Linked DNA regions of Lonchura striata. The protein of the gene in region 4 interacts with the protein of the main gene of each other region in a biochemical or structural test. Links are inferred from orthologs where the notes say so. Each region holds a gene or a part of one and is shown on either strand. Other genes may lie near its edges. The genes, in order: JAM2, CLDN2, claudin-4-like and TJP1.

Region 1 (7,501 bases), on a different chromosome or scaffold from region 4:
GACAATAGTCTCCATTTTGAGTACATCAGTTGTCTCTCACATATAGTCAAGAAAGCATAGTTTAAACACTTCCACTGTCACTTCCTACAGCAATGCAGTCAGCTTTATGATTTTTTTTGTTGGGGTTGGGGGGGAAAAGAAACAAAAGGCTTCTTTGGTCTAGAATCTCTGTATCTGAGTGAAAGGTTTCTGAGAATTAAGGAGTGGGGTTTTCTTAAGCCAGAAAAAAATAAACAAAATATCACCTTACTTACTTCTCAAACTACCCCAGTGAGCTCCATCAAATATTTAGGTAAGACTACTATTTATTGCCTCTGCACTGTCCTCTCACACACATATTGTACTGCATTTGCTTCCAGCATCGCCAGCTGAAGGCTCATTTCAGTGTGCACAAATATTAAGAAAAATCACACCTGGATGCTTCTCAGAAAGGCCATTTGGTCAGTACATACTATCTCCTCCCATGAAGCCATGATGGTTAATAACATTTTCTGTACATATTCTGTCTTGCCAACAGAGCTCACAAGTCTTACGCTGCGGCACCTTTTTCAACTTTGAGATGTCAATTCCAGAAGCCTGTGCTGAAAGAGAACATGATTAAAGACTCCCAGCTTCTTTAGTTTCCATAAATTAAAGGTGGAAGGGATGATTAGCTCACAGAAACTACAATTTCTGCATGACTATTTCTTAGCAAGTTCCCAATGAAAAGCAAACATCATCTACCTTGGCTATGCTGATGCCTTGTGACCAACTTACACAGCTTTTAATTTCTGCAGCTACCAAGAAAGTTCTCTATACCTGCTCCACAGAACCATTTAAGCAGAACCATTTAAGCTGGAAAAGATCTCTAAGACCATTGAGTCCAACCTTTGACCAATCAGCACTTTCACAACCAGGGCACTGAATGCCACATCCAGTTGTTTCTTGAACACTTCCAGGGATGGTGACCCTTCCACCTCCCTGAGAGCCCATTCCAATGCTTAACAACCTTTTCCATGTTCTTCCTGATGTCCTCCCCTGACTCAGCCTGAGGGTGTGTCCTCTTGCCACGTTACCCATATGCTGCTTGTGAGGTATCACTACTTCCTTTTCCTCACTAGTTTCTGCCCATTCTCCACCATCTCCAGAGCACATGGGTCCCACATAAGAGACTGCTCAGCCCATTCAGGTGGCTTGGACACCTGAATTACTCAGCCTTACTGTTCATGTAAACACATTCCAGCCACAGGAGCAGCAGCAGACTTCTGGTTCCTGGATTTCTTCCTGGGTTTCCTCTGACTCCCACAAACAGTAGGCATTTGCACACTCATGCACCTACAATCACTTTCTGAATGAAAGGACTTCTTATCAGCACCTTTCTTGTAAACTTGCTTTCCACCTAGTGTTTCTTTGGAATTGGGACAGTAAGGGGAAAAAAAAAGCCCACCAAGAAGAAACTTTCAAGTCTGATAACGATGTAGGCAGCAGACTTTGATGCACTGTATTGCACGCTCTATCATTTCCTTAGCAGTCAAAGCCAGCACTGCCAACAGACAACTAACCAGAAGGCTGAGCAGCCTGAACACACTGAAATCTGTCACCAAAAAAAAAAAAATCACAGCAGTTTCACCTGCTCAGATATATAATGAAATTAAGAAGAAATAAAGTAAAAAAAAAAAAAAACCAAAAGGCAAGCCATGTTGTTTATTATTATTAGTTACTATGAGAAAGAGAATTTCTGCACTAGCTGTTCATTTAACAGCCCAACATTTCCATAAGGTCTTGTAGGAGAAAAAAGAGAGGGGAAAAAAAAATTCCAAGCCAATGACCTATTAGACATGCATAACTTCAAATATCTCCACTGCAGGACTCTGAAAAAAAAAAAAAAAAAAAAAAAAGGGGGGGGAAGCTTATATACACAAAGCTTTTTGTTAGGTAATGTTCTATTAAGAGGAATGAAAGGTAAACCTCAAAATATACCCAGCATCAGTACCATGGATGTTCCACATCTACAGTGGATTGAGAACCCATCCTGGGCTGGTCCTAGGTGGTCATTTCATTGGAAGATGGTGCAACATAAATATTTTCAAAACACTATTTTCATGTACAGCCCTTTCCCCAAACATCAGTAAGACACAAAAAGCATAGAATAGAAGCACTGTAAGAAGACATGATCTGAAAGTGACAGCCTTATCACAACTGGCACTACTAACAGTGTGATAATTCAGTGGCTCTCCGGAGGTATGTGCTGCACATATCTGCTTTTTCCTATTATTTATGCGTGCTTTCTGGCTGGGGAATCTTTGCTCAACTTATTGTAACCTTAACCTTTTATTTTTAAGGAGTTCGGAGCATAAAAATACTGGAAACTCAAGAACTGTTCCGAAGATGCAGCATCCAGCGCTGGCAACAGAAAACGCGCTCCCGCCCCTCGTTCATTCACCTTGTAAAGGCCAGAAAAACAAAGTATGCAGCCCGCATCCTAAAGTTTGCACGGCGGCAGACGGCCGCTGACTCGCACTTAACCAGGCCGGCCTTTAACAGGTTACATCCGAGCGAAACCATGGAAAGACACACGGAAAGAATGCGTGTGGCGGGGGACGCGCTCGTTTGCGTTTCGCTCCTGGAAACGCTATTTGGCTGCTCTCGCCCCGGGATGAGGGAGGGGAAGCGGCACCTCCAGGAGCCATCCGCCTCAACACACGCGTAAAGATCCCGCGGGGAGCGTCCCCCGCACAGCCCGGCGGCGTGGCGGGTCGGAAAGCCCCGCAAGTAGGGAGCTGGCCGGGGCGGCGGGGCGCGGTGGCCCCGTGGGACAGGGACGCGGGCACTTACAGCTGAAGAACCCCACGAAAAGGAGGAGCAGCAGGCGCGGATTGCGGCTCGCCATCTTCCCGTACCGGCGGCGGCGTGGGGCGGTGCCCGGTGCGCCGGGGGCTCCGCGCCCGCGGAGCTGTTGCCGTGCGCGGCCGCGCTCTGCCTCCTCCGGAGCCGGAGCCGCCTCAAACTTTTAACGTGTCCGAGGAGGCGTCTCCCCGCTCCCAGCGCAGGAACCGGGGCGGGGATGTGCCCTGGCCACCCGCCCGCTCGCCCGCCCGCCCGGCAGCGGGGAGCCGCGGCGGGATGCGGCTCCGGGAGCATCCCTCTCCTCCACCGCCCCCGCAATGCCCCCGCGCATCCCCGGGGCTCTGGGGTGTTGAATACAGCAGTTCTTGTCTCCGTTTTGTTCCTTTTTAAGCTGTGACATCTTCATAAACTCAAGGACATTTGTTGCAACAGAATAAACTTTTCGTTAGGAAAAGATTGAATGTCTCTAAGAAGAGCGTTGTCCCTGTCGGCGCGTTTCCCTTCAGGCAAATCCTCTCAGGGAGGAAGTAGGGATAACGGGGTGAAGTCACGGAACAAACACTTGGATATTCCGGCTAACAAAAAAGCCATGTGAGGGCGAGGCGCTGTTTTAAGGCGAAAGAAGTCACAGTGACTCCTTGTGTGCCTGTCTATACAGCTGGATTGGACAGAATCCCACCTACAGCAGGAGATGGGTTGGTTACACGGTGACCTTCAAAATATTTTTATTATGTTATTATTTTATACCAGACTATGAGAGTTTTTTGTTAAATATACAGGTGGTGTAATAGTTCTTTAAATTTATGAATCAAGGAAAATTACTCATCTTGACAGTGGATAGTGTCTCTGAGTAGTTTCCAGTCACATCTTAAAAATGCATTACCACTGATGTAAAGCAATTCTATAACAAGAAAAGTATCACAAGTAATTTTTTTGGTAATCAGAACATCAATGATGGCTATATTTTGTTAGAAAGCAAGAAAATGAAGAAAGATCATTTATAAATAAAATCTCTAACAGCTATTTTAATGGAGAACAAGGAAGTAGGATACCATGATGCTCTTCATGGCAAAATCTTAGTTTATTTTTCACGTGGAAAAAAATGTATACAGAACACAAGTAATATTTCTTTTAAAAGATCTACATACATATATGTATGTATGTATGTCTGTCCAGTATACATTACTGGTATCATGACATGCATTTTATAAAATCAAAACTGTCCCATTGAAAACAGAAAAGTTTTTTGTGTGTCCCAGCACATCATAGTTTTAGGCAAGTACAAAGGTTCATTGATTTCAGTAGAACTGCTTTACTATTTAGTCAGACAATGACGGAAATGTTGTCTTGATATAACATTTAAATATGGCAAGAGTCTGGTGGAAAAGTTATAAACATGGGGAATGTTAAGAAATGGCAGTATGGAATGAAATTAAAGGATAGGCAATATAGGATGTTATTAATACTGATGGCTGATGAAAAACTAACATGCCCAGGCTGTGTGTGCTGGAAGCCCCAAAACCCCTCCTTGTGCTGGGCTGCATCCAAAATCCAGTAGGCAACAGGGCAGGGAGGGGATTCTGCCCCTCTGCCCCGCTCTGCTGAGACCCCACCTGCAGGGCTGCATCAGCTCTGGGCTCCAGCACAGCAAGGACAGGGACCTGCTGCAGCCAGGCCAGAGGAGCACCGAGGGGAGCAGAGGGATGGAGCAGCTCTGCTGGGAGGAGAGGCTGGGAGAACTGGGATTGTTCAGCCTGGAAAAGAGAAGGTTGCATGGACAACTCACAGCAGCTTTCTAGTATCTGAAGGGAGGCAGGAGAGGGAATCTTCATCAGAAAATGTAGTGACAGGACAAGGAATAATGGGTTCAAACTGAAAGAGGAAAATTTAGGTTTATATATAAACTTAAACCTTACAGTGAGCATGATGGCATGGATTGCCCAGAGCAGCTATGGCTGACTCATCCCTGAAGTGTCCAAGGCTCAAGTGTTCAAGTGTTCTGAGCGACCTGGTCCAATGAAAGGTGTCCCTGCCCATGGCAGGAGGTGGAATGAGATGGACTTTAAGGTCCCTTCCAACCTAAAGCTTTCTGTGATTCTGTGATTCATTAATGCAGCTCTTATACTAGAGCAAATCCATTCAAGCATGAGGTCAGACTAAAGTTCCTTTCTTCTGTTCACTATTTTATTTCTCTTGCAAGTGAAGCAAATTCCTAGTGTTTCCCCCACATTTCTCTGTTTTTTGTACAGTTCATATTTTCTTTTCATTCTCTTCTTTTATTTCAGCAATGGCTAGATTATGGTTTTTCCACTTGCTTTATACTACTACAGGAAACACCAGCAATTAAATGATAGTATTTTGAAGGCACTTACAGAATTACTGGAAAAATGGTTGTAATACATATAGTTCATGTAATATATACACTTTTTCTCTATGTACTTTGCTCAACAATTGTATTCTTAAAAATACTGTTAAGTACTTTGTTAGAAGGGCACAAGACTGCTATCCATATTTTTTACCTTTTAAAGTTGGAGTAGAAATGTTTTCATCAAATAACACATAGCGCCCAAAATGGAAGAATTTGTTTGAGATGCTCACTTTAACAGATATTCTTGGAGAACTTACCACAGACACTCCTTTTTAGAATAATAAAAATAGTTTATAATTAACATCTGCACACAAAATGCTAATCAACAATAACTATCTTACTTTGTGATAGCTGTTCTGGTCAAGTTCTTTGTATAGAAAAGCCTTGAAAAATTGAGTGTAATTGCAACATGATTTCAAGATTTGGATGTCTTGTTACAATCCCAGGAATATAGTTTTTGCTATAATGGGCAAAACTCCTTCATAACAATGTTTAAGGCATGAACCACTTCAGTCTGTGACACACAGTTGAAGAGTTCTGTTCTCACCTAACAGAAAAATTGTTTTGAAAAATAATTTGTAAAAATTCAGTGAAAGACCATAAGCCTCTGGCTCCTCACTTGGGAAACATTTTATCTTTCCTAGCTATATAATGCTAAAAATGAATAAAGAGAAATTAAGTTATAGAATCCTCCTTTTGGTGATTTCTCTACTCAAAATGTATTTTATTTTGCAGAGGGGAATAAAACCTCTCTAGATTTATTCTTCTGCAATTAACACGCTGATTTCTAGAATAGCTTTGATGTAAAATAACAACAATAAAAAATCAGTATAACAAATTAGAACTGCTAAATTTGGTTGCAAAAGTTTTGCAATGTAGATACTCAAATCTATCACAGATAGATTACCAAGGAAGATGACTGATTCCGCTTCTCAAAAACCTGCATAGAAGAGGGGCAGAAGTGGTGAAGCAGTGCAGTACATGAAGAAAACTTGCTGCTTAATTAGCACCTTGAAGAGTAAGATGCTAATTTCTATGGAATCTCTTCTTTGTTATGCCTTACACATGCCAGACTAGAAGAGATAATGAATGTTCATCCCTTTACTGCCATTAAAAATAACTTTAGAAAGAAGTTTAATGAATGACAATGTTTCCCTAGTCTGTCACATTCAGGCATATCTCAAGTTTACTCATTGAATTTAAGAAGATTAAATAATGCAACCCTCATTCCATGTAAGAAAGCACATATTTTTACCCCACTGATAAGCAGGTAGTATAGATATGTGGTGATCTGGAAGTAGCAGTTCTCTTGTTTGCAGAGTGAAATGCCAGTGAAAGCATAAAGGATTACAGTTCTGTGCTGCTTTCCCTTTTTCTTCCTGTGCTTTCCTACCATGATTGCTCTTTAAATGTTTTAGTGTCTCTTGGTTCATCTATAATAGAAGATAACCCAGCAAGTTTGTAGACAACCGTGCCTGATAATGATAAGAGTAGCAGTGGGGAAGATGTAGAATATGGAGCCACAAAGGGAGAAAATGAAAGACACAGAAAAAAAGTGTTCCTGTGAATAATCATGCCTATCATTCTTTATATGGACACTTGAGAGCTCACTGTTATTGGAACTTACATGGTTCAGGCTTTGATCAAGAAGACACCTTAGAATATGCTTCCATATTTAACAAAGAAGAAACAGATTTTTCCATATTTCTAAAAAGAGAAATGTTATGTTTGAGATGGTCAGAGGTGCCATTTGAGATTTGGTGCCACAGCCTGTGCATAAGATCTCTGTACATATTTTTTCTCAGCACACTAAATTGTTGTTACATATATTTGCTCTAATAAATGCTGAATACAGTAGCACACAGCTGTGAAGTGACCATTCTGATGTGATTCCAGGCATAGCTATGGGATAAGTTGATGGAAAATTATTTTGTAAAACTGCTAAAACAGACTCCATTTAATTTAGCTCAATTGCCAATACGCATATTTTACAATCAATATCATATTTTTTTTCCTAAAGTCTGTATATTGATGTACTATGCATTTTTTATGCAGCTTTAACTGCCAGCCTGCAGTACATTGAATCTATCAGCTTGAAAGCCTTGCCCTTTAGTGTAAAGAATAATCAACAACCATATGTGGGGACAGGCTGATATTTCCAATTTAAGGGACACATTTTCTTTTGCAATTTTAGTTATCATGGCACCTGGTTTTTTACAATGTCCTGGGGTATTGCTTTAATGGTTGCCACTCCCCTGCCTGTCACCAGGGCCTTGTCTCCTTTTGAGTTCTGTGGCATTTTATTAT
Region 2 (5,650 bases), on a different chromosome or scaffold from region 4:
CATAGCTGGGAGCTGCCTTTGGTCCTTGGGATCATGTTTGCCCCAGGAGTGCCAGTGCTCACTGGGATGGGGATGTGGGAATGCCAGGGCTGCCCATCACCTGGGGACCTGGGTGTGCCACACACAGGGGCAATGAATCTCCCTGTGGGCATCCCAGTCTCATCACACCTGCACTCCTGGAAACAAGAAGGGCTGGGGGACGGAGGGAAGGTGCTGCCTGCTATTATCCCACAGGGAGCTCTGCATGTCCCTGCTGGCACCCTGGCAGTAGTGGTGCGTGGCAACCTCCCAGCGTGGTGCCAGGGACAAACTGTGCCAGGGAGTGGCCCTCCTCCCCTTCAGCAGTGCTCCCACCTGCCTGGGCTCCCGGGTGACAAAGCCATCCGCTGTGGGGTGGGGGAGGCAGGCCAGAGCAAGGGCCAGGGGCACCTTTCACATCTTGGACCCCTCCACAGCCTCCTGCTGGCCCCTCGGTGCCAGAGAAAAGCCCGGATACAGTCTGGCTAGAAAGACGTATTTATTGCGACATCGGTTTGCAACCAGCACTCACCCCCCCAGCAGCGACTGCAGACCCCGCACATGCCCTTGGCCCTGCTGGGATGCCTGCATGGCCAGCGGCCGGTACCTGGGGCCACAAGCCCCCTCCCCTTTCCAGGCAGGTTCACTGGGGCTGCAGGCTGGGGTCCCGCCGTGCCAGGAGCTGCCCGCGAGCTGGCAGCGTGGGGTAAAGAACAGAAGCCGGATTCAGGGCCGCTCACCGGTGCAAGCCACCAGCTGGGATCTCCAAGCAGTCACAAGGCTCTCAGAATCCCAGGGAGAGAGCGGGGTCAGTCCCCCAAGCACATGAGAGGGCTGAGCACGGGCGATGCCGCCGTGCCCTCTGCTCTTACCGCGCTCCCTTGGTGCCAGCCCGGACGCTCTGGGGAGCCGGGAGAGGCGCCAGCCTGGTTCCCCCCTGCAGCCACTACACGTATCCTGTCAGGTTGTAGGAATTGACTTCACTCTTGGTTTTCTGCGCCTGGCTGACAGAGGGCCGGGAGCTCTTGCTGGCCAGCAGCTGGGGCCGGTAGGCGCTGGAGTAGGCGGCGGTGCTGTCCCGGGCAGGGCAGGAGGTGCAGAGGATCAAGCCACCGACGAGGGAGAGCAGGGAGGAGATGATGCCGAGGTAAAGAGCCTCCCCGAGCTCGAACTTCATGCTGTCGGGGATGACGGGGTTGCGGAAATCCCGCAGCACCACGTGGATGTTCCACACCAGCGGGATGAAGCAGAGCAGCCCCCCAAGGACGAAGACCGCGCCGCCCGCCACGGCCACGCGGTCCTTGGCCGGCGAGCCCTGGCTGAAGACGGTGCACCTCATGCCCACGACAGAGAGCAGGCAGGCCAGGGAGGACACGGCGCAGGAGCTCACCATGAGGGCTTGGGCCGCCTGGACGTCGGCGGGCAGGTTGAGCAGGGAGCTGTAGATGTCGCACTGGGTGATGCCCGTGCTGTACGTGGCGCACTCCATCCACAGCCCCTTGGTGAAGCTGATGGCCGTCACGATGCTGGAGCCGATGTAGGAGCTGGTCTTCCAGCTGGGCAGCAGCGTGGCCGTCAGCGTGCCGATGTAGCCCAGGAAGGCCACGGCGTAGCCCAGCAGCTGGAGCCCCATGGACACCATGGTGGGGGCTGGCTGTCGCTCTGTCGCCTGGCCGAGGCTCGCGGTGGTGGCCCAGGTCCCTCCCGTGTGCTCACGTTCCCATGGCCCTGGGAGAGGCTCGGCTCGCAGCGCTGCAGCTCCTCCCCGCTGCCGGGGGTGCCGGTTTTGTGCGGGTGGGAGCGCGGGGAGGTTACCTGCGGGAGAGCAAAGCAAATCTCCCCGTTAACGATTGACCCGAGCCCCTGGGGGAGCGCCAGGCGCCCTTTCACCCCCGCTATCTCCCCAGCCGGGCTCCGGGGGCAGAGCAGGCTGCCCAGGAAGGACGCCAAAGCCCTCCCCTGCACTGACGCCGCGGGCAGGATGGAGAGCCAGCTGCTGCTGGGGGAAAGTGCCCGCTGCCTTCCTCGAGCTCCCTTGTCTTCTGTGCTGCCTCCAGCTGAGGAAACCGAAAAGCTGTGGCTGCACCGTCTTATCTGGGACCTGCTGGAGGTGACTTCAGGTGGTAAAACCAAAGCTCCTCCAGCTGAGAAAAAGGGATGGCACCTCATACCCATCTGCGTGGGGCTCACCCAAGACATCTGCAGTCACCCAGGACCCACCCCGAGCTGCTGAGGCTCCTTTGGGACAAAGGGACATGGCCACCTGAGATTGAACCATGGATATCAGCCTTTCTGCGCTGCTGGGGACAAGGATGGAGAGGGATGCGTGTGACAGTGACACCTGCATCCCCAGGAGAGCCTGGAGGCCCACAGAGGGCAGAATTACATCAGGGCTGGCATCTCCTTCGGGATGCTTCGCCAGCCAAGCGGGGTGACCTGTCCTGTGGAGGGGTGAGCAGCTCGGGGTGCAGCTCACGCTGGGACTTTGTGTCAGTGCCACCTTCTGCCCACAGCCCTGTACACAGGCGGGGGGGGGGGGGGGGGTGGTTGGCAGAGGTGGTGGAAAGGGTTGGTTTGTTTTCCCTCTGCTTTGTTTAAAAATTCCTCCTTCTGTGGTGCCTTGCGAAACCGGGCTGAGCCCCGGCACTGCGGCCAGTGGCCTCCCTCTCCCTGGGAACGCTCCTGGCTGAGCATGCTGCCACCACCCAGGGCCACCCCTGCTCCTGCCCCCCCCTCCCGCCACCTCCAGTGTTGGCACCAAAGTTTCCCAGCTGTCTGTCTCCTCTCCTGTGCTCTAACCAAGACCTCCCACACCATCTCAGCTGCTGGAAAAGAAACACCTGGGGTGCTCAGGGTGCTCAGGGTGCCGGCAGAAAGGTGAGGGAGTGAGGGAGGGAGCTCTGTGGTACTTACGGAGGGGGCTGGAGGTGCAGGGGGGGACCCGGGGCGGCTGCAGCCGGGGGTCACCCAGGACTGGAGGCGGCTGCCTGGGGCAGGGTGAGCAGCCAGGGGATCAGGGGCTGCACTTGTTCAGCTACAGCTTTGCACAATCCACCTGCAAATCTCCTGGATCAGAGGCTTATTGCAGATCAGAATTAAACCCTTTGGGTGTCGGGAAGGACTGGGGAGCTGGGATGCCTTGCTTTGCTGGTTGTCTATGAATTATTGGGGTTCAGGTTTGAGGCTTGCTGTCATCCTTCTGGACAGCCTGTGACTGTGCCACCATCCATGTGTCCACTCTGGGCTGTGCTGCCTGTATTGGGGTTTGAGGGGCAGTGAAACACCAGCAGGTTGAGCTCCCCACTCCTCAGCCTGAACTTTTGGTTTACTCTTCCTGGCCCTGCTTGTCCTCCACGGGGTTTGTTGTTGTAAGACTACTGGCCCAAATGAGGAGCAAATGGGGAAGGTAATGAGAGCTGTGCTGGCCCCGTGCCCCCTCCTGCTCACCGGCTGCCACAGATGGAGAGGGGCAGGGAGGGCCTCTGGTGACAAATTGTGCTCAGAGCTGAGCAGGGTCCGGCCAGCGTTTGGACAGCGGTGTTTGGATGCTGATAGCAGAGCTACAGCAGGGACCATTTGCTATTTTCTTTCCTTGTCCCAAACTGAAACTCTCCCAGGAGCAGGAGGTGACTGCCAGTGGCACTGTCTTTGAGTGCTTGGGCAGGAGCAGTGGGCAGGGATGGGATGAGTGGCCCTGCTGGTGCCAGGGGCTGCATCAGCCTTGCACCCTCACATCAAGGAGCTTTTCTGTACCTCCTGGGGTGGCCCACATCTCAAAAACTCAAAGGAAAGGGCAGGGAACACTGGTAAGTGGTTGCTCTCCCATCTGTGGAAATGGGATCTGGCAGCTCCCTGGGGTGATGGGTCATGGATGCCTGAGCAGGACCATTGCCCTGATAGTGCCTGGGGTCCATCCCTGCCATGGGTCCTCCCTCCCTGTCTGCTCTTGAGCCTCCCGGAGCTATCAGCTGCCTCCTGGTGGCTCTGTGCTTGCCACCACTGTAGCCCATCAGTGTCCTCATCATGCCCGTTGTGCTGTCCCCAACACAAGCCCAGCACACTGTGCCCATGGCATGCCCAGCACTCAGCCCATTGCACTGTCCCAATCCCATACCCATCATGCCACCCCTCCGTTCCCCATCCCTTTCCCATCTCCCCTGCATCCCTTATGCAAATGCCTACAAAGAGCACTTAATCATCCTTGTTAATTGTCTCTACCCTCCCCTGTTCCCCCCCGGGGATTTTCTCACAAATGGTGTCCAAATTTTCCCTTTTGTGTTTTGCTTTTCCACCAGAGATCGCAGCCCCTCCGCCCCCAGCCTCCCCCCGGCCCTCTGTTTACACAACTGGGACAAATTTCACACTGCTGTCCCCACAGCCCCATCCCCTCGTTCCCCTGCCCCAAAGAATCTGTGAGTCACGGCCGAGGCTGAGCTATAAATGTGTCCCCACCGAGGCTCGGCAGTGTCAGAAGGGACAGCGTCTCCTGCCACCATGCAAGCTGCTGCCTGCTGCCTGGCTGCCCCCGGGCTCCCAGCGCCGCTGGCCAGTGCCTGCCCCCCGCCGGGGCTGGAGCAAGGGCCGAGGTACGGGGGAAGTGGGGCAGGCGGGGGCTGGGGAAGCTCCCGCTGGGCTCGGGTGAGGCTGCGGTGCTGGGGACACCTCGGATCCCAGCGGCCATGGGTGGGACGGAGGGTGCTGCTCGGGCGGGTGAGGCGGTGGGGCTGAAGCTGCTCTCTCCCATAGAGCCTTTCCTCTCTGGAGGCCGTGGCTGCCCCGAGCCCAGGAGGGACCCGCGACGCGGCAGGAGATGGACGCTGTGAGTTTGGCACTCCCCGCTGTGTCTGTCCCCACGCCCGTGGGGTTCCTGCTGGGTAAAGCCAGCCTGTCGCCCCAGAGGCTCACTTTGTCCCGCGGAGTCCCTTGTCCCACGGCCGTGCCGTGTCCGCCTCCCCCGGAGCATCACCCGCCGTGGGCAGGGCGAGCCCCGGGGGACAGGGCCCCGCAGCCCCGAATGTTCCCAGGCTGGGCATTCCTCAGGGCCTTAGCGGGATGCCCGGGCAGCGCTCTGGAGCACGGGGCAGAGATTACACTGGCTGCCAGCCTGCCGGGCGGCGCGGGGTGGATGCCAGCCTCCCCGGGGCGGGGGAGCTGCCGGCAGCGCGGCACCCGGGCCAGCCCGGCGGGGCGGGCAGGGCAGCGGGGCCCGGTGCCACCCGCCTGTGTCTCCCCAGGCTCGGGCGGCGGAGCGGGACGGCGGTCCCGGCAAGGCGCTGCCGTTCTTCCAGCACCCGGTCAGGTACGTGCCGGGCCCCGGGGCGCCGGGCGGGCGCGGCGGGCGGGGCTCACCCCGGCTCTCCCCACACAGGCTCCTCTGGCCCAAGTCCAAGGCCTTTGACCACCTGTACAGCGTGGGGGAGAAGCTGCTGGAGAACTTCCCGGTGCAGGCCACCCTCTTCTTTTATGAGGACTCGGGCAGCGAGGAGGAGGAGGAGGAGGAAGAAGAAGAAGAGAGGGATGATGAAGAGGAGGAAGCGACAGGAGATGTGACCGCGGGACACCCGCGGAAAGCTGGCAGCCCCGGCCTCAGCAGGCCGGTGTGAGGCAACAGGCGGGGGAAGGCAGACAGCGC
Region 3 (6,087 bases), on a different chromosome or scaffold from region 4:
AACAGGTTCACAGACACACACAGACTCACGGACACAGATTCAGACAGACACACACACACACAGACTCACAGGCAGGCTCAGGCTCACACACACAGACTGACAGAGGCAGAAGTGAACAGGCGGTGGTACAGGTGCACACATACACACCCTCCCCCAGTGCACATGAGGCTGCAGGGCTGTGGGCAGGGGTTCCCCTGGCAGGGCTCTGGACCAGGAGGGGACCCCAGGCATGGCTGTAGGGTGTGGGGATGCCCCAACCAGGGCTTTGGGGCAGGGTCATACCCCAGACAGGGCTCTGGGAAAGGAGGTTGGCACCCCAGACAGGGCTGTGAGGCACAGGAATAGGGGCAGGGCTATATCCCCAGGTTTTTCGAACAGTGGGCATACTCAATAGCGGGTATATGGGGCAGGGGAGATAACCCGCATAGGAGTGGGAAGTAGGAGAGAGGGATACCTCTGGATAGGGATATGGGACAAGGAGGATGTTCCAGGCAGGGCTGTGGGACAGGAGAAGAGTGGGATACTCAAGGCAGGTATATGGGATAGGAGCTACTGGGGCAGAGCTGGGGTGGGACAGGGCAGTGAAACATCACAGCCCCCGACCCTGCAATCAGAGCCCCACATGTGGCGTCCCCACTTTGTCATCCCAAATTGCCCAAAATACAGGCTGTGTCCGGTGTCGTGCCAGCCTGGGGCAGCTGCTGCTGCCTGACTCACGACGGAGGAAGGGGCAAATCACCGGGGTTTCGGGGTGCCGGCCACCCCCGGCAGGACACATTCTTGTGGTGAGCAAAGCAGCTCACTAGTGTTTACTGAGGAGCTGAGCAGGGCCAGCGTTCCTGGGGGATTCCTGAGAGCACCCCCATCCCAACTGCTACATCTCCCTCCCCGCTGCGGTCCCTCTGCACCCCCGCACAGCCAGGGAGGGATGAGGAGTATCCGAGTCCCTGGGGATGGGGACAAAGTGTGGTGGCTGCAGGAACTCTGAGGTGACACGGGGACAGGTTTGCTCCACTGCGATGCAGAGACCCCAAACAAATGCCAGACGCGAAGGTCACGGGAGCATCACCCTTTTGGTGGCTCCAAAGGAAGGACACCTGCGCTGACAGGGGGGGACACCCACTGCAGCATCCCCATCCATGCAGCCGGCAGCACCCCGGGGTGCGCAGGAGGTGACGGCAGAAACCGCCCCGGGCGCCGCGGGGCCGCGTCCCACTCACGCGTGCGGCGGGGCCGGGGTGTTCCCCGCCGCTGCGGTCGGATGCCGGCGCTTTTTCCCCCGGGGGAGCGGGGCCGGGGCGGTAAATGCCGCCTCGGCTGCTTATATTTCAGGCGCGGGGCTGCTGGCTCTGCCCCGGCCAGGGCACACAGGCAGCCCATTGTTGGAGCCCCTTCGGCGCGGCGGGAGCAGGTGAGGCGGCTCCGAGCATCAATGGCAGCTCTGTGTGCCGGCGGGGCGGGGAGGCGGCTGCGGCACACGGGGGCTGGGGGCGGCGGGGGACATGGACCGGCGGGATGTGTCAGGGGGCTGGTGGTTCTGAACCATGCCTGGGGCTTCCCCACCCGGACAGATCTGATCGTCTTCCCCAGGGCTTTGCCGTGGCATCCCGCTTCCTCCGAGCATCACCCGTGGGGAGCTCCCATTGCACCTCCCGAGACCCCCTTCCTGATCCACCATCTCCCCCATACCTTCGCCAACACCTTGGCAGCACTTAGGGGTGTTTTCCCTGTTGGGAGCCACTTGTTGCATAGAAACCGGACAGAGTTTTGAGTTTCAGAGCGACTTCAGGCCGAAGGTCCCTTCTCTCCCTGCTGGAGACCTGCAGGGACCCCACAGGTCCCGGCGCACGGTTCCCCTCCTGATAAGACTTTGCTTTCCCATAGCGATAAACAACCTGACTGTGCATATTTGAGTCGGTCGGAGGGATTTAAGTTGGGCAAGGATGTTATTTGGGAACATTCAGTCTCTGGGCTGTCGGTAACTAATCCTCGGCCTCCAGCGGGGAGAAGCTGCCCCACTGCTCAGAGGCTGAGTGGGAGGGTTATTGGCCGTGCCTTGCTCAGCAGATGTGAAGCCAGAAATCCCGGTGGATCATCGTTTGCTGGCAAGTCTCACCTGCCTCTCTGGGACCTTGAGGTAGCCAGGTTGGTGGGTCCATATGTGGGTCCTGGGGGATGAAGGGCTCTTCCCTCCTCAGTGGTGTGGGGTATGTGTGGTGGGACTGACACCCATGTCGTGGGTGGGGATGTCCCCAAGCCCTTTTTGGCAGGAGATTCATGCCCCAAGCCCTCTCCCTGCAGAGTTTCCTCCACCCTGAGCAAGGCCAGGGTAACACAGCCTCTGCTGTTCACCCAGCAGTGCCTGGCATTGTGGTGACACTGCGTTTAATGTCACCTTTGTGCCTGGGAATGGCCTCACTGCTCAGCTGAGGGGCTGCAGTGTGTCCCCATGCTGGTGAACCCAGGGAAAGTGTCAGAAGGTGTTTCCTGATGGATGTGCCAGAACGGGAGCTCTGCCTTCACACACCATCTTAGTGCAGTGTAACAGGGATGGGAGCCCTGGCTCCTGCATGTCCTTCAAATCCCACTGCATTTGGGGCAAGGCATCTACACCTGAGTGGGTGCTGGGACAAGTGCTGTGTGGTGAAGGCTCAGGATGGGCTGAATGTGTTGAGCAGCCTGTTTTGGGGTAGAGGAGCTTCCTGCTGAGCAACTGGGCTGTGGTCCCACCAGGACATGTGCCTGTGCCATGGTTCCTTGCAGCTGACACTGGGGAAAATCTGGGTTGGGGTCCTACAGGAAGCACTGGGAATTAGCATTGGGACAGGGCTGTGGGGCTGGTGTCCATGTGGGGCTGGTGTCTGTGGAGTGCTTGTCCTGGATGGCATGTTCTGAGGTTCTTGGTGGTCCCCCTATGCTGCACTACCATCCTCAGGCTCCAAGGGCTCTGGGGTTGGCTGCTGCTCCTCCACGCCAAGCTGGTGTCTGACGGTCCTGCTGTCCGGCAGTGCTGGGGACACGGGGCTGGCAGTGCGGGGGACACGGGGCTGGCAGTGCTGTCCGGGTGGGTGTGTCACTTGGGAATGTGGGGCAGGGCACAGGGGCTGCCCCTGTGTGGCAGCTGCCAGGTGGAAGATATGTCACGTTCCAGCATTAATTACAGTCATTGGCTGTCACAGGCTGTGCTGGCGCCTGCTCTGCCTCCGAGGGGGAGTATGAACAGCTCAAGTTTTGATGCTCTGTGCGCGAGGGAATCCCTGTCCCCACCTTGCCATTTGTCCCCAGCCCACAGACATGTCCCCACGTGCCTGCGGGGACACGGCTGCTGTGAGCCACACACACATTTGGGCGTGTGCCTCTCTCCAACCCCAAATAAGGCAGTGGTTGCAGCAGCCGGCTGGGAGGTGAAAGCCTCAGGCAGGGTCTGGCCCCGGCGGGGATGCTCCGGAGCTCTGTAGATTAAAGGGAACCCTTGACCACAAGGTTCTGGCTGCAGGCTGGACACACTGGTATGTGAGCAATGCGAGCATTCCAGCAGGACAGAGGGACGGACCTGGGCAGCTCCACTGGCACAAGTCAGGCAGGCAGGACCATGACCATCTCCTTAGGTTGGGGTCTGCTGTGAGACATGTCCCCAGACATCCTCCTGGCACTGCGGTGCATGGGCCACCAGGCTTGTCCCACCACACTGGGACATGATGCCCAGGGACATCCTGGCATGAGCAGTGTCCCTCGCACCAAGCAATAAGCACAAATGGTTGGATCATGATGGTAACCCCAGTGCTCAGGAAAACTAAGATTATCTCCGTTCTTCTTATCTTTTCCAGGGGCCCAGGATTAAGCTAGGGTGATGAAACAGTGCAATGTCTGTCTGGTGTTGTGCTGTGCCTGTACAGGGGCTTGGAGGGAGCAGGGAGGGAGCCTGCATTGGAGTCATGGATTAAAAGAGGACAGGGGCAGCATCAGTATGGCATCAGTGCTGGCATCGGTATTGGCATCAGCACTGGGATCAGTGGATGTGGCTCTGGGTATGATCAGTGGGATCAGTGGGTATGGCTCTGGGGCAGCTCGAGGCCACATCTGCCCCTCACAACCCCAACCCACCTAACCCCACCATGCAGGCAGTGGGACACGGGCAGAGCTGGGGCTGAGGGTGGCTGTGTGAGCCCTGGCTTGGCACTGGAGCACAGATGAGCTGGTTTGGGGTCTGTCCCCCTGTTGCCCCAGGCAGTGCTGTCTCTCCTTTGTGGGGAACCGGCAGCCGCTCCAACCGGTTTGTTGGTCTGGGCGGTGGCACCTCCTGCCCGAGGCCTGATGGAGGGCTGGAAGTGCTGGTATGGACGCCAAGGAGCAAACAAGAGCCGCTTGTGTCCTGCTGGGCACGGAGCCCAGCAGCCGGAGGGGACAATGTGCACCTCCCTCGGCATGGGGCCATGGGGGGGCAAGAGGCCGGATTGGAGCAGTCACTATGAGCTGGAGGGAACTGAGGCATGAAAGCGTGAAGGGACCCCATCCAAGTGATGGAGCAGAGGGTTCTGGCAGGGATGGCAGAGATATCCTGGTGCCTGGACACCAGCTCTTCCCCTTTAGCATCCCAGGCTGAGCCCTAGTGCTGCCCTGGGCACGTCCTGCCTGCCCACAGCAATGGCATGCACTCCTACACCTGGGTGGCCTGATCCCAGTCCCCTGTATCCTCCTCCGTGGGAGCAACCGGGATATTAAGTGTCATCGCTGCAGGGAGAAATACAAGTGGAAGAATCCCGGGAAACTGGTTCTACCCCTCCATCCGGTGCCGGCGGCAGGCCGGCGGCTGCGGCGGCGCTCCTCCCTCGGCAAAGGCATATAATGCCTGCCATGGGCCCGGCAGCCGGCACTGCGCGGCGGGAGGCGGGCAGGGAAGCAGGCAGCGAGCGATGGCCTCCATGGGGATGCAGGTGCTGGGCATCGCCCTCTCCGTCATCGGCTGGTTGGCCTCCATCCTCTGCTGCGCACTGCCCATGTGGCGGGAGACGGCCTTTGTCGGGAACAACATCGTGGTGGCACAGATCATCTGGGAAGGGCTGTGGATGAGCTGCGTGGTGCAGAGCACGGGCCAGATGCAGTGCAAGGTGTACGACTCGCTGCTGGCCCTGCCGCAGGACCTGCAAGCCGCCCGTGCCATGGTGGTGGTGGCCATCGTGCTGGCCATCCTGGGCACCCTGCTGGCCGTCGCCGGCGGCAAGTGCACCAATTGCGTGGAGGATGACACCGCCAAAGCCAAGGTCATGATCCTCTCCGGCATCATCTTCATCGTCGCCGGTATCCTCATCCTCATCCCCATCTCTTGGTCAGCCAACAGCATCATCCAGGACTTCTACAACCCGCTGGTCTCTGACTCGCAGAAGCGGGACCTGGGCTCGTCCCTCTACGTGGGCTGGGCGGCCTCGGCGCTGCTGCTGCTGGGGGGAGGGATCCTGTGCTGCACCTGCCCTCCCCGCGGAGAGAAGCCCTACTCCGCCAAGTTCACGGCTGCTCGCTCGCTGCCGGCCAGCAACTACGTGTAGGAGCCCCCGGCCGCCCCAGGGCGCGGGGACCTCGCGGGACACCCATCCTCCCCGGCTGGGCTGGGACCGGCCGGGCGCCGGGGCGGTGCGGGGGAAGGCAGACAGAGCTGCCTTTGTTCCACCGGGCTTGAAGCCGGTTCTTTAATCTCGGTTGAGACAGGGGACAAGGAGATCTTGTCCTGGCTGTCCGCGGTGGGGGTTCTGCTCCCCCCCCCCACAGCGTCCAGCTGAGGCATCTTCTCCGAGACATCGCCTGATCTCCTCCTCGAGCATTTGCCGGCTCCCGGTATCGGGGTGTGCCATGTGGTGACACAGCTCCCAAGAGCCCGTCCCACGGGTGGCACAGGGCTCTCTTTCCCCGCGTGAAGCTCCCCGGGACGTGTCTGTCCCTCGGGGTGGGTGGCGGTGTTGGTGCTGGTAGGGACAGCAAACCTGTCCCACATGGTCACAGGGACGTAGTGGTTCTGTGAAATCTGCAAACGCCGGCAGGGTCTTGAGGGGTGACAGGGGCTGTCACCTGCCTGTTCTCTAAATTTTGACTTTG
Region 4 (7,760 bases):
TTTCCAATAACCCAAAGCCTTTTGTTACATAAAATGTAGAGATCTAATAATGTATCAGTAATCCTAATAATGCAAGATTAAGCTCTTGAATAATATGAGGGTTTTTTCCTCTGTGCTATAGCGAGCTTTCATCCCAAAAGCTGGGATTTCAAAATACAGCAAAGTATTTCAGATATGAGCGCCTTTTCTGAAGTTGGCTGAAAACCACTCCTATTACTACGTGGTATTAATGAACCACTTACATCATTCTGGTGTTGGTTCACGGCTTCATCTTCCTTTTTCTTTTTAATTTGATTCGCTGCATCAGCTGGATTTGCACTGGAGACTTTCTGAAAACAGTGATAATACTAAGTAAACCTCTACTATACCTTCAAGTGCTTTTTCCAGCAATCATCAAAACAAACCAAACCAAACCAGTATAATATTGGGCTAAAAAGGCAATTACAGGGAACAAGGTATATCCTCAGTACACAGACTTCTCATGGCACTTCTAAACTGCATCCTTTTGATGTTCTGCAGACACAGCAGTGCTGCTCACCAAGCAAAGTCCTCTCAACACAATTTCCCAAATTTCACTACTACAACTATCACCAGCAAAATCGCCCCAGCGAGGCCGTTGGAGCAGTGAGCAGTCTGTCCAGGGATGCTGTGGATGCCATCCCTGGCAGTGTTCAAGGCCAGGCTGGATGGGGCTCTGATCAGTCTGGTCTAGTGGAAGATGTCCCTGCCCATGGCAGGGGGCTTTAAGGTCCTTCCCAACCCAAACCATTCTATGATTCTGCGAACTCGCCGCCTTGGCGCAAGGGCAGAGACCACTGCCCAGTGCGGGCAGGCACCGCGACAGGCTTCTTCTGCTCCCGGGGCCCGGGCACAGGCGGCTCGGCCCCGTGAGCGCCCCTGTCCCGTCCCTTCCCGCCGGCGGAGGCCCGGCCGGCCCGGGGTCACCGCCCCGCCCCGCCCCGAGCGGCCCCGGCGCTACCTCTCCGCCGGCCGGGGGCTGCGCCGGCGCCGCCCGGCCCAGCTCGGCCGCCAGGCTGCGGCGCAGGTGCAGCAGGCGGTACCGCAGCTTCTCGTTCTCGGCCCGCAGCCGCTGCAGCTCGGGGCTGGCGCTGCCGGGGCACTGCAGCTCCTGCGGCTCCTTCAGCCGGCCGACCTCCGCCGCCAGCCAGCGCAGCTCCCGCTCCTGCCGCGACAGCCGGAGCTCCGCCGCCTCGGCCGCCGCCGCCGCCATGTTGGCCCCGGCGCGCTCCGCCCGCCCCGCCCCGCCCCGCCCCGCCCCGCCCCGCCCCGGCCCCGCCCCGCCCGGCCCGGCCCGGCCCGGCCCTCCCGCTGCCGCCGGAGCCCGCCCGGCGTCCCTGCCGGGCGTTCCTTTTCCCATCGCCCCTTCTGCTCATTGAGCAATCCGCTTTTTGGAGCACCTGCTGCTGTGCCGGGGATTCATCAGCCTACCTGAGGCCGGTGAGCAGCTGGGAAGTGTCGATATCTACAGAATCAGTTGGGGTGGAAAAGACCTCTGAGATCATCGAGTCCAGCCTATGACCGAGGACCGTCAAGTGGACTATGGCTTCATGTGCCACATTCAGTCTTTCCTTGAACGCTTTATTAAACAATGTCAGTGTTAAAACGTGTTGGTCAGATTGCATTCTTATTTGACTTCAATGTCAAATGAACACTGCCGGAGGTTATTTGTAGTAGATGCTTCCTGGCTGACACACTTTCTTATTAAATCAGGCTGATTGAAACTATTCAGCATCTTAGCACAAATTGCAGAACTTAGCACGAAGGTAAATAATTTGAAGAGGGTTGAGTTGCCAGATGTTAGGACTCAGAGCTTGGGAGAATTGTACAATTCCTATTGCACAGCCCAACAGTCTGCTGCATCATTTACAGGTCATTGCAGTTAAATACCTCAGTTCTTGACTCTGGGAAAAGAATAGCTCTCCATCACAAATCTTTCATATCCACCATGTACTTCCATGTATCCTTTTGTCTTAAACACTTCCTTGGCATCTTCAATTTATCTAGTTTCCTGCTTTGATTGTACTTCACACTCACTTTTCTGTGTTCAGTTTCTCAACACACATTTTCAAATTTTCACCTTTAATCTATACTCAGACTTTAAAAGCTGTGGGCTTTTATTACCAAATTGGCAATTAGCAAATCAGAATTTTAGCATTTTATTCTTCTATTTACACAGTGGGAAATAACTATATGGTTTGTGAGAAGGTAGAGAGATAAATTTTGTAACTGTGCGCCACTTGATACATTTCCTATATCACCCATTCTTTGTGATTTTAAGACTTTATAAGAACATATTTGAGGTTATAAGAATATATTCTTTTACCAGCAAAAATAATGGGGAGATTTCTGGCTCAAAACTTGTACTCCTTTAGAAGAAAAAAGTAAATTATTCAGTGCATCAAGTCCAAAGACTCTCCTATAGTGTATACTCACAAATTTTAGGTTCATATACCTCAGCAAACTGGTAACAATGCACTGTTTTCATTTGCAACAATTCTTCTTTCCTTTCCTGAAGAGGTGCAACTTGGCAACACCTTTGTCTATCCCTCACTATAGCAAGGATGTGTATCTTTGAGGTTAGATTGGCAGTTGTGAAAGTAAAACATAGTCTATAGCTTCCTTTAGAAATCTATTTTCATTATGAATTTGATAGGTTACTTGCTATTTTAATTTTTAAATTCACTACTGTGCAGAAATAATTAGTCTGCTTAGGATACTGATGACAAGCAGTGTTATCAGCACAATAGAATAAACACAGATTTGTTTTTTAAATTAAACTCTGAGAAATGTATTCAATTTATATCTTCTGTATCTCATCTTTGGGTAGTGCCTTATGAACTCAAAAACGTGTAACTTTGGGCTTGCTCTGGCATTTAGTGAAGTAAGGAAGAACTTCCCCTCTGAAGGCTGAGAAGGCTGATTCAGAGGATGCTGTCTAACATATGTGCAGTGCCAATATCCTCTATCAGGATCTTTTATTTGCTGAGATAATGTGGTGTTAATTAGTAGAACTTATGAGACAGAAACAATTTGAAGAGAGCAAAAAAATCATACTACCTCTATGAATGTTCAAAGCTAGAGGGAATTTGGAGAGTTAAAGCCTCCTTCCAAAGTCTATCTAGAAGACCTGCCAGATAGGTTGGCTACTTTCTCTGCCCTGTGCAGCTGGTTTAGCTGTGCTCCCTGGCTCGTGGTTAGGATGGCTCATGTTGGGATGGCAGCTGCTTTGCACCATCTCTGTCCCCCCAGAGGGCCCTCTGTGGTGTGTGGTGTGCAGAGCACAGGGAGCTCTACCTGAGATGATCACAGCAGCGTTATGGCCAGTAAGCCATAACATTGTAAACTGAGACAATTAATATTTCTTCAAATAAAACACAAACCCATGGTCCTTGCCCCACATGATGTGTCACACAGAGGCTTGTTGTATCTGCAAACAACCACAAGGTGACAGGCAATGCTGCCAAACAATTCCGTGAAGCCTCGCTGGCTAACTGGATGCTCGCATACACAAGAAGATTCCTGTGTTAGGATATGGTCAGTGGTCAACTTTAATGTTAACTGAATGTACTTGAACTTTAGGAAACAGAAGAAGCCTGAGAGGAGGATACCATGGTTGCAACTTAAGATTACAAGAACAGAAAATATTCTAAAACTCATTGGACTAAAAGCTTGGCAAAATATTTTTGTTTGCTCCACAACAGATAAACTACCCTTTAGAAAAGTGCAGGTAAGGTCACATGAGCAAGGCCATGGATGCATTATCAGTTGGAAGAAATAGAAAAAGAAAAAATAGACTAAGAAACAGGAAGGGGAGGCAGGAAATGTTCATAGCTTTTCCATAGAGGGAATTTATGTTGACAGAAAGTATGAAAACAAGACCGAGAAGTCCATGTACTAAGGATCATTTGCATAAGGGAGGTTATGTAATGTGTGATCCTCAATGAATGATTATCAGTGGCAGAACACCTCCACTGGGATTGCAGTAATCTCCACTGTTAAACCTGGCTCAGGAAACGAATGCTACATGATTTATTTTGCTTGGAAATGGCATAAAAATATAGACATGTAGAAATGTTGTTATTCTTAGTAGTTATGTACTTACCTTGACAAAAAAGGTCTTATTCTGTAACTTTTTTTTTTTTTTACCTTTTGCATATAGGTTTACAGAATATATATAGAAACATGCTTTCTAAATGTGTAATTTCATTCCATATTAAAGCTAATATTTTATAGAAGAACAAGAATTGGATGGTATTTGTACTGTGGTTTGGGTATGGCCTCTGAGGAATATAAAATCAAAGTGTACAAAGGATGCTTTATTTTATGTCCTGTACCAGCTTGTACAGATTATTTCCATTTGATCAGCTGTCTTCTAGAATGAATTATTTTTTGCAAAGAGATATCTTTGAAGATCAGTTATAGAATTAAAAAGTAACAGTAGCTAAGCAATTCTCAGTCTCATCATTATGGTTCAGAAGCTGTTAACAGTTGTAAAGGGCTAATTAGTGTAATGTAATCCTCTTAGGAGGCTGCAGGCATTGAGCTAGATTTCTTTATAATTTGTATGTAGGCCTTCTTCATTCCATTGGTATTACAATAATCACAGACATCAGTATGTATATGCATTCTAGCTATCCACATTATGTTGATTCTGTATACTGAATGCTGCACGAGAAATGCAGAAGTAGAATTTTCTATTTTCTATTTAAATATCAAAATGTTTGGAAGAACAGCCAAGTCTTGGTTTTACAACTGTGCAAAATCTACCAGAAGAGAAAATGAAAACAGGAGTAAGTGGCTCTCTGAAATCCCAAGCAATCAGAGACAGAAAATACTGGAAGAGCTGGATGTGAACAAAGTGCTGTCATATTTGGTTTACAAGAGAGTCTTTTCCTTGGAGGAATACAAAGACATTTGGTCTCAGGAGAGCTACAAGAAGAGAACAGAATATTTTCTAGATAAACTCTATTTAAAAGGCCCAGGTGCTTTCTCTGCCTTTTGTTCCATTTTGGAGGAGGTCTCTCCTAACTTGCTGACATGTTTTCTCCTTGGCTATGAAGGTAAGGTCACTGCTCTGAAATGCTTAAGTGTATATTGGTAATGTCTTGCAATCCTTTGACACTAATAGTTATTTGCTATAATTAGTGTTTACTTTCTCTCTTGCACTAAACCAGAGATAGTATTTACTACCTTTATGGTTTTTAGTTATGAAATAAAAAATAATTAGGAGAAAAAAAATCTTAAATATATTTTATTGTTATACTTAGAACATTTAACCTGATAAAATGCTGAATACTCAAATTGCTGCTATTAATAAATGAAAGTCAGGATGGTGAAAAGGATTTCTAGGTATTACTGATAACGCTTAGATGAGAAATGTAACACTGATTATTTACGTTCCTTACGCTTTCTGAAATATTTAAAAATAGATTGAGAAGTTCTGTAGGCAAAAACCCGAGTAAGTGATCCCGTTCACATTTTTCTTGTTAGTTATTGTATCTGTCTGTAAACAACTGTGTGAAAAAGGGTTGAATTCCTAAATATCAACAATACGAGTGAAATTAATCAAATAGTGATTTGGCCATCAGGCACCAGCCGTACTTATTTGCGGAACAATATTTTGCTAGATATTAGCAAAGGTAATGTGAAAAATGCGTAGGGTGCTTACAATTATATCTTACTGACCTATTTTTATTTTTTGTGTCTGTTATATTCTAAATTTCAGTCTATCAAGTCAACTAGAGTTTTTCTCAGCAATGACTGCAGGGTTGTGCTCAAAGGTTATATAGGGAATGTCCTTTTAGAATGTAATTAAAATAGTCACATCTTTCACTGATCTATTCAGTACCAGGTTTAAGCAACTTAAAATTACAAGTATTTATAAATAAAATAAGTCTGAGTCCTGTAAAAAACATTAATAAACTAAATATGAAAAAATTTGAAATATAAAACCATTTTGACCTTTGAAATAACTAGATTGTGCCCTCTCTTGACAGCCTGATTACTTTTAAAATTGACAGTTGGAGTTCTAATTACATGAGAAAGCAACAGACATTTTACCCTAATTTAATTATGAAAGATGCCCATTTAATGTAGCTTTTCAAGATCAATTTACAATAAGGTTTTATGGCAGTAACAAGAAAATCAAAGGATGTTGCTGGGGAATTTAATACATGTACAAAATACTTCACAGACTACAATGCTATAAAAAAAGCTACCTAGGCCCTCTTTTCACTATCTTTTTTTTTTTTTTTAAGCATAGAAATATAAATACAATTGATTATAAATACATTATAAAGCCAGGTCTTTTGGAATACACTTTTTGGAATGAAAATTTGGGCTTCCTCTGATTTAACTGAAGAGACAGTGCAGGGAGGGTTTTTATTCTATGCCATCTAAATAGATCATGCAGGGGCCTGTCACAGAACAGATTTCAGTCTTCCAGTGGGTACAAGGTTTGGGGGTAGCACTGCTCTAAAGGGGATGGCCTCAGCAGAGGAGTGCAAGTCAAGGACTCTGTCTCCCTGACAACATCACAGGAGATACAGAGAAAAAGGAGAAAGCAAATGCCACACATTTCCAAGAGTAAAGGATACTGTTGGAACAGCATCCCAATCCATTCTGTCTGTGCCTTGTGCAGGCAGAAAAATGCCTCAGGCTGCCTTAGCTCAGCCACTATTACACTCTTTCTTCCTTCCCCTCCCCCAGTAGTGCTTATCAAATATGCAAAGCTAGTTTTAGAATCTGCTTTTGCTAGTAATAATTGACTGGATAACAGGCAAAGAAAAACACATGCTATATATACACATTAATTCATGCAAATAATCTGTTTAAATTCATGCACACATACATTGCAGATTCAATTAAAATGCATTATGTGTTCTGGCATTGTGGATTTTTATAGATCAATTTTGATAAACCGTGTTACAAGGTGCACAGAAAGATGTGATGAAAAAGAACATTGTTCATTATTTCCATTACCATAATTTTCTTCTCCATCCTCTAAAAGCTGACTGATAGGGCAAAGGAATCAAGAGGAAGGAATGCAGTCTAGATGCATGACGAGAAGCTGCTATGCCTGTGCTATGTGGCATCAGCACTACCAGAGCAGTGCCATCCTGCCCACTGTACTTGTTAAAGACACTCTTTGTGGAAGGCTGACTGAGCACACAGAATAGAATCAATTCCTGTTATTGATCAGCTGCATGTACAGTGGGACCAGTTTCTGTTCTCTGGACCTGTCCCTGTTGGCAGATATGGTTATTTTAATGGGTTTCCATTGTCTGCATGCCCTACAGAAAGGACCATTTGACAGGTGCTGGAAATGTGGCATGACTCCAAGAGGTCACTCAGGCTGTGGATTAATGTGGCTCACTGCAAGTACTGTGAACTGTGCTAGTGAAATGTGGCCACCGAAGGATATACTGTTGCTTGCACATAATTGTTTTAATACTTTGAACTCTTTCACCTCATAATTTCCAATAATTACCCTCACAGTAACTTAAGTGGCGTTATAGCCCCACTGATGCATCAAGATTAGTGACTTGATTAGTTTACTTACAATTCTTCCTATAATATAAAACAAAGCCCCTAGTGATTTCATGCGGAGAAACAGTTGGTTACTACTTGCCCATATGATACAATAGAAAGTCAGCTCTTCATTGGCCAGGAAGAAATTTACATGGAGTAAGACTTTTTATTATTTCCAAATTTCTATAAATAGTCTGACCTATATATCT

The links.
Region 1: the proteins of TJP1 (region 4) and JAM2 form a complex in vitro, tested with the Homo sapiens proteins (2 studies listed by BioGRID and IntAct, with this or other methods). The link is inferred for Lonchura striata from reciprocal best matches to the Homo sapiens genes TJP1 and JAM2.
Region 2: the proteins of TJP1 (region 4) and CLDN2 form a complex in vitro, tested with the Homo sapiens proteins (2 studies listed by BioGRID and IntAct, with this or other methods). The link is inferred for Lonchura striata from reciprocal best matches to the Homo sapiens genes TJP1 and CLDN2.
Region 3: the proteins of TJP1 (region 4) and claudin-4-like form a complex in vitro, tested with the Homo sapiens proteins (2 studies listed by BioGRID and IntAct, with this or other methods). The link is inferred for Lonchura striata from reciprocal best matches to the Homo sapiens genes TJP1 and CLDN4.

What each region holds. Positions count from the first base shown.
Region 1 is NC_134604.1:5,387,686-5,395,186, forward strand, and holds the start of JAM2 (junctional adhesion molecule B), read right to left. Parts: upstream 3,022-7,501; 5' UTR 2,870-3,021; coding exon 2,815-2,869; intron 1-2,814. UniProt on the Homo sapiens protein: Junctional adhesion protein that mediates heterotypic cell-cell interactions with its cognate receptor JAM3 to regulate different cellular processes. Plays a role in homing and mobilization of hematopoietic stem and progenitor cells within the bone marrow.
Region 2 is NC_134616.1:18,447,062-18,452,711, reverse strand, and holds CLDN2 (claudin-2), read right to left. Parts: upstream 1,791-5,650; 5' UTR 1,661-1,790; coding exon 965-1,660; 3' UTR 501-964; downstream 1-500. Other genes in the region: protein ripply1, read left to right, coding at 4,829-4,837, 5,253-5,317, 5,387-5,621. UniProt on the Homo sapiens protein: Forms paracellular channels: polymerizes in tight junction strands with cation- and water-selective channels through the strands, conveying epithelial permeability in a process known as paracellular tight junction permeability.
Region 3 is NC_134622.1:1,360,116-1,366,202, forward strand, and holds claudin-4-like, read left to right. Parts: upstream 1-4,913; coding exon 4,914-5,543; 3' UTR 5,544-5,575; downstream 5,576-6,087. UniProt on the Homo sapiens protein: Can associate with other claudins to regulate tight junction structural and functional strand dynamics.
Region 4 is NC_134613.1:9,929,410-9,937,169, reverse strand, and holds the start of TJP1 (tight junction protein 1), read left to right. Parts: upstream 1-4,738; coding exon 4,739-5,081; intron 5,082-7,760. Other genes in the region: threonine--tRNA ligase 1, cytoplasmic, read right to left, coding at 243-329, 980-1,231. UniProt on the Homo sapiens protein: TJP1, TJP2, and TJP3 are closely related scaffolding proteins that link tight junction (TJ) transmembrane proteins such as claudins, junctional adhesion molecules, and occludin to the actin cytoskeleton.